Kluyveromyces lactis: one gene and its partner. The protein of the gene in region 2 purifies or fractionates together with the protein of the main gene of each other region. This does not show direct contact. Links are inferred from orthologs where the notes say so. Each region holds a gene or a part of one and is shown on either strand. Other genes may lie near its edges.

What was found.
Region 1: the proteins of REV3 (region 2) and POL32 purify together in Saccharomyces cerevisiae (affinity purification with western blotting; 3 studies listed by BioGRID, with this or other methods). This does not show direct contact. The link is inferred for Kluyveromyces lactis from reciprocal best matches to the Saccharomyces cerevisiae genes REV3 and POL32.

Annotation. Positions count from the first base shown.
Region 1 is NC_006041.1:1,996,444-1,999,884, forward strand, and holds POL32 (DNA polymerase delta subunit POL32), read left to right. Parts: upstream 1-1,743; coding exon 1,744-2,913; downstream 2,914-3,441. Other genes in the region: KLLA0_E22397g (uncharacterized protein), read left to right, coding at 450-1,328. UniProt on the Saccharomyces cerevisiae protein: DNA polymerase delta (DNA polymerase III) participates in chromosomal DNA replication.
Region 2 is NC_006039.1:855,017-858,954, forward strand, and holds the start of REV3 (DNA-directed DNA polymerase), read right to left. Parts: upstream 2,948-3,938; coding exon 1-2,947. Other genes in the region: ATG29 (Atg29p), read left to right, coding at 3,389-3,853; SET6 (Set6p), read right to left, coding at 3,842-3,938. UniProt on the Saccharomyces cerevisiae protein: Nonessential DNA polymerase. Required for DNA damage induced mutagenesis. Involved in DNA repair, mitochondrial DNA repair and translesion synthesis.

The DNA of each region.
Region 1 (3,441 bases), on a different chromosome or scaffold from region 2:
TCGAGGTGATGTATGTTTAGGGATCCGTATTGATTGCTTGGAAAAAAAATACATCGGGGCAGTAATAAAGGAAGGACACTGGCTTGAGGAATCAAATAGATGACTTGTCCCTCAGTTGCATTACACATACTTGTACGGTATATATGTGTGCATGTGTGGGGGGTGGGTGGAAAGGCACAAAGCAAGGTAGCTTTTTTTTTTTTTGATTTGATTCCTGAGATGTTTGTATGTTCTAAACCATATAATTTTTCAAGTGAAATACTTCTAAGTTTATCCGAAGAAACGAAAATACAAATTATGCATATATAAATAATTGTAACTTTTTAGTTTCAACCCTATTGCTGCTCCAATCTTGCTTGCAATATGCTTTATTCCCTCAATTGGGTTCATAATTGGGAAATTTGAACAAGCGAAATCCACACTATCAATTAACCTCATCAGACACAGATATGTCATTCCAAAGTTTCATCAAGACTCCAACTGAAGACACCGTCGTTCCACAAGCTCCTCCAACGGAACAGTACCCACAAGGTGTCAATTACCTCAATTTGTTCAGTCAAAAGGGCAAATTGACCGTTATTACTGGTGGTGCTGGTGCCATTGGTGGCGCTCTATGTGAGGGTTTCGCTTCTTGTGGTTCAGATGTCATTATTTTGGACAGAACCTTCCAACCAGAACTTTCCGTCCATTTGAGCAAGACTTACGGGATTGAATCCAAGTCATACCAAGTAGATATTACCAACGCTGACGACGTTAAATTTGTCTTTGAAAGAATCTTGGAAGATTTCCCAGGTCGTGCAATTAACACATTCATTGCTAACGCAGGTATTGCCTGGACTAACGGTTCTATCTTGAACGATGGTTCCACCCCAGAAATGTGGCGCAGAGTCATGGACGTTAACGTCCAAGGTACTTACCACTGTAGCAGGTACGCTGCTGAAGTATTCAAGAACCAAGGCCACGGTAATTTGATCTTGACTGCTTCTATGTCTAGTTACATCAGTAACGTTCCAAACTACCAAACCTGTTACAACGCTTCTAAAGCTGCAGTAAGACACATGGCCAAGGGTTTCGCCGTCGAATTCTCTGGTTTGACCTCTCCAGCTGGTAAGATCAGATGTAACTCTGTATCACCAGGTTACACTGATACTCTGCTATCCTCCTTCGTTCCTACTGAACAACGTGCTCACTGGTGGGGTCTAACACCAGTGGGTCGTGAAGCTTTGCCACAAGAATTGGTCGGTGCTTACTTATACTTGGCTTCCGATGCTGCTTCTTACACCAACGGTTGTGATATCCAAGTTGACGGTGGTTATACCTGTGTTTGAATCCTGTTGTAGAAAAAGCTTCGTCAACACCTATTACTGATAATTGTCACTGCCTTTTCCCCTACATCATGCTCAAAATATTTCTGTTTAACCTAACTACATTAAAAATAGAGTTAAAACTAGAGTGGTTCCTTCTCTTTCACATACTATGTAATAATTTTATATACCCAATTCTTATATGGGGTGATCATTAGTATCATACATCGACCCTTTCACTACTATTGCGAAGCTTCCCCCCATTGAGCCTTAATGTCTAATTGTCAACACTTTGTTACGCGTAAACGGTGCTAACCAAAAAAAAAAAAGACGCAACTTCACTCAATCATCATTTAGTGCTATCTGCACAGAGCGATGAGAATTGAAGAGAGAGAATAATAAAAAGAGCAAGCAAGCTCGAGCTGATCATCATCGAAATATGGTAACAGCGATAGAGAATTTTATCACGCAGAAACTCATCAATGACTGTAAACCTGTAACATTTTTAGACTTGTGCGATGAGTTTTCGATAAATGTGAACAAAGCAAAGAATGAGATGGTACAGTACTATAGCACTACGAGACATGAGTCGATCCAATGCATTGTAGTATGTGTTTTGAAGCACAATGTAATACAAATGATTACGGATCCCGAGAAACTACCGGAAAAGGAAGACATAAAGGATTTCTTCATCTATGCGTTCAACCCACTGGAAACTATTGATTTGACAAATAGAGAAAGAACACACGTTACGATCAAGAACCCCTACAAGCTGCACAATCAAAATGGCACACGGCCCCAGACAAGCGATGGTATTGGAAGTGTAATTAACATAACCACCCAAGATGTGACTCAAAAAATGGTGGCCGGCCCCAAGAAAAAGTCTGAGGCAGAACCGGTCGTAACGAAGCAACGGGCAAAGACGTTCCCAGAAGTTGCTGTTACAAAACCTAAGAAACCAACTAAGAGTATGGGTCTAAAATCTACTGAACTTCTGGCCAGAATGAGAAGAGAAAGAGAGGAGAAGGAGAAGAACAGACAAGAGGAATTGGAAAGGAGGAAGCACCAGCAGCAGGATAAAAATCACGTCGTGGTAAGCCAAGAGAAACAAAAACAATTGGACCAACTGGCCTCGATGTTTGACGATGATGATGACGATGATTTAGCCCAATTCGATAAAAATTCTAAAAAGCGTGATAAGAAAGAGGAAAGCGAAGAAGAGGCTGAAGTAAACCACCCTGTAGCGATAGAATCAGTACCTTCACAAGAATCACAACCAGTAAATCTAGACCGCACTGTCACAAACTTAGAAGAACTACTTGACACGACGGTAGACGAATCCTTAATGGAACTATCTCAACCAGAAAAGGAAAAGGAAAAGGAAAAAGAAGAGCCAGTCCACGAATCGAAAGAACAGACCACATATATAGACGAAGATGGATACATGGTTACTAAGAGACCAGCTACAGAAACGAAGAAACCACCAAAGCCTGTGAAATCAGCGAAAACGGCAGAACCGTCAAAGAAACCAGCAACACCAGTCGAGAAAAAGAAGGCTCGCTCCAGTCAACGTACACTTGAGAGTTTTTTCGGTAAGAAAAAGGGATGAGTAAATTAACTTGTGTATTTATTCAAATAGTTTCAAATAGATTCGGATGATACAGACGATACAAACGCTGGCACTGGCACTGACACCTAGATAGAAATATACGGCGACTCACGTGACCCAAAACAAAACATTAACACGTGAATAAGTTACCCGAATACACCGTACGCAACGATGTGAACAGGCCACCACGTCCCCTTCTTTGTGCGATTTCTTCTATCAGAGAAAAGGGGTGGTTAATATCGTTTCAAACGATTTATCTTGCCCTTTCTATTGAGATTGAAATTTAAGAATTTTGGATTAACAAAGATTATAAGACAGAGGAAATGATTAACTACCACATTGCCAGACAGCTTGTACGGCAATAAATTAATTGGTGTTTCATTATACTTTATTAAAGAGTGAGTTCACAAAAGTTAGATCGCTATAGCTTTAGACTGGGTTTTGAAGATTATTGCTCAATCACTTATCGCCCGTTGAAAATCTTTCCTTTTTATTTTGGACCGATATTCCAAATTACTCTTTCAATTG
Region 2 (3,938 bases):
TTTTGACAAAGACGATACCATTTGGTGAGATGGTGATATAATCAGATATTAAAGTTAGTAAATCTTCAGGGATATCATACCTTGTGATACCTATTTCATTATTTTTAGTATTTAATGATTCAACTCTTCCGATAATAGTGCTGTAACAATAATTATATGCCATAACAATGGATGGGTATAATGATTGAAAGTCTAAAACTAATAAAGGACTCTTGTAAAAGGCAGATGAAGGTTCCATCACAAGTGGTATACATTCGAGTGCTTTTTGGTTACGGACCTGCATTCGGCTTGGAGAAATCAGAATGAATTGTTCTGATTTGCAAAGTCTAATTAAAAAGGATTCAACCTTGTATTGTGAGCCACGGTAAAGGACAGAATAAAAGTCAATCCCGATAAGTCTTGCTTGCTCGATGGTTTTTCCAATTATATTCTGAGTCTCTAAAAGCTTGAAATTTACTCGAAGTCTTGTGATCCAGTAAAATAGGAGACACCTTTTTGAAGTTTCGTCCATAGATTCATAGAACTCTGTCCTGGTTTTGTACGAATAAAAAGGTAACCGTTGGTGTAAAACATGAAATGCAATATTTTCTAATGTATAATCGAGAAGATTCAAAGAAGAGCGGAGAGGCCTCCATATGTTTAGCATTTGTCTTCCCGTTATCGAAAATGCTGTTGCGTGAGTGTAACCCCATCTGTCTTTTTTTTTGCTACTCTGGTTATAATCGACTCGAGAGAGTTCATCTTCCACATCATAATCATGTCCCTTGTGACATCTATCAATCAAGTAGCCCCACGAGGAAGAGTGTATTTCGTATCCTGACAAGATATCAGGATCGAAAAACCTCACTAAATCTTCTAATGCATATATCATTTCCAATTCATCGTAATAAGCAGTTATATGAACACTAGGATCGGCAGTTTTCCATGAATTTTCTGTCGAGACATCGTCTAGAAATATCAAAACACCTTCTTGAGTAATATCCAGGTCGAATGGAAAAGTTCCATCTTGCACTTTCCAAAATATCATCCTGACAGCATCATATTTAGGATCTGGAAACTTATCTTCACGAGTATTGACGTGAATTTCCATGGTGAAATGGGTCATTCTATTAGAAGCGTTATTATTTTTTTCTATTTTATTGCTCTTGAACTTGTATCCGAATGGTAGTTCTGGTGTTTTCCCCTCCACCATCGAGAATTTACCTTTGAAAGGCTTCATCGCATTGGCTATTCTTTTAAAAGACGGCTTTGGTCTTATATATTTCCATCTGCTTCTTGCATATACACTTCCTGAAGAAGTTAATGTTGCTGTTGTATCGTTACTACGGATGCTTCTTTTAAAGAGGATATGATCACTTGATAGCTTGAACACTCGACCAGCCATTTCCGTTTGTAGCCTTTTACAATCAAGTGGATTGGAGAAAAATGGATCGTTATACTGAACTTCTTCAATTTGGTTAGCAGATAAACTCTCCTTGATGTTAGCGTGTGTTACGCTAGGTCTGATCATCGGGCGAAATGTTGACTTTCTAATAGCAGATGTTTTTCGTTTTGCCAGTTTCCTAGCAATTGCTTCATTAGCAATATCGTCATGACATGAAGATTCCTCCGCACGTTTGGAACTGACATGTGAAGAGTGCGATTCATTGGAGGAAATATTTAGCAAAATGGGAATATTTTTAGTGTTTGTAGACGCTACTTTTTGTTCACGAACAGAAGTATATTGGTTGTTCAATTTGAATTCTACTTCTGACCAACAGAATACTTTACTACTAGCATTCCTTGGTATTTTGGGCCATAATTCTTGAAGGGCGTCTTTGGTACTTGCAAAAAAATTCTCATTAATGAAAGGATCCACAAAGTTGTCAAAATTTAAAGCTTTTTCTTTGTTAAAAAGGGAAGACATTCGTTTCTTAGCTTCATCAAAGTGTTTCACCAACCTTTCATCTTCTTTCCAATTATATTGTAATTGAGATTCTCGAAATATTTCTTTTAATCCTTCATATTCAGCAAGCCCTTTCCTTTTCCTAAGCAGTTGTATCTCTTTCCATATATCTTTTGTAGAATTAACATATCCTTGATCTGATGTTTGAAGGTCTTTCTTAAGCTCAACAAAATCATGGTGTAAATCCCTGAATTGAATTTCTTCTCTGTTTAAAATGAACTGTGGAATAATATCCATTTCAAGAAAGGTCTTTCCAATTCGATGAAATGGATCTATGTCTAAAACATTTTGATTCGGATGCAAGTGTTTTTTCAAAAAACGTTCCAAAGAGTCCGTGTGCAATATTTCATTCATATCTAGATCAGTTAACAGAACAGGTTGCCGAAAATAGCATTTGGATAGTTTTAACCATCCGCAACCAAATAAGTTATAGTCAGCCATCATTTGCAATAAATAAGGTATATGAGCCTCAAAGACATCCACTTTTGAGGTGAATATTCTGCCATCTCTAAGTAATTCAGAGAGTTTATTACTATATGAACCATTCAAAAGAGTAATTTTATAGTAAGGTTCATATCCTACGTGGTATCCGTAAAATGGAACGCCTTTGACAACGGACACATTAGCAATGTATTTCAGGGAAGTTAGCTTCTCTTTAAAATCTGTTTTGGTAAAAGTTTCAATCATCCGTGTCTCAAGTATTTTGTGCAAACTGGTACATCTATTCCGTATTACTGATGCTTTATCATTCGAATGTCCGTCATATTTGATGAATATGTAAGGGAAAATGCCATGGCAATGAATTAGAACTTTGTGTCCGGTAGATAAACATCCATAGAACCTTAGTACTGGCACCTGAACAAATCGAAGTCCAGGAAGGCTCTTACTAGTTTTACAATCCAATAGAGTTGGGAAGCATTGATAGCTGTCTGAATTATTAATCTGTATGTTGATTTCATTGGAGTCTAAGCTGGAGTCTAAAGAACCAAAAATATCACTCATCTGCAAGTAATCATCATATCAGATTACAGTCACCTTAATGTAGCACAGTTATATCTTCTGATGTAAACGATGTGAATGGTATAAAAGTAATATCCTTGATTAATGGGTGATATACTGTGACCAAACTTCAGATGAGAAATAGCGATGAGCAATCCTGCAAAGTTGGGCTAAACTTGATTATAGTTGGGTATATTAGTATTCATGATTACCCGGATATTGTGATCATTCTGATACGTAATGAATAATCATATTTTAGCTAAAGTGATTCTCGTATACTGGAGTTGTCCGAGATGAAAGTGAGATCTAGTTGAACAACATTCACCGCAAGTTCCTAATCGAATTTAATAGCAAATGTTACTTTAAATTGTTCTAATCTAGATTCTGTGGTATAGGAAGAAATTTGGTGATTCTATAAAATCCACAGTGTGAGGTGTATTTACAATGAATAATGACAACACAAAAGTGTACGTAAGAGTGGCAGGTAAACGACCTGAAAATTTTGTCGAAACAAAACCATTTATTTGGGATTCTCGTCGAGATAAGATTCTATGGACCAAAATCTCAAAAATTGACTCGTTAGAGGATATGGATTGGCAGGAATTGGGGGCTGATTTAGGTGCACCAGAACCCTTTCTCAAAAAACGGAGTTATACTTTATTTCAAAATCAACTAAAAGTTTTATCGAACCAAATAGACGTTACATCTAATACCCGGTCCTCATCAGAGTCACGAAATTCCGTTGACAACAACATTCTCCAAAATTTACAGGCATCAAGAATAATGAATCATAAATTGGATAAGACGGACAACTTAGCCAATAATCAAGAGTCTAGTAGTGAACTTTCGAATTTAAGTGTGAGCAAGTCAGCACTTGAGGACGCATTGATGGATTGTTTACAACTCTGAGAGGCATCTACTACATTTGCATTCAAAAAACCAATTATCCTTCAATATTGCCCTTCTCCGGTTGACGTCAAGGTGTAATATACCC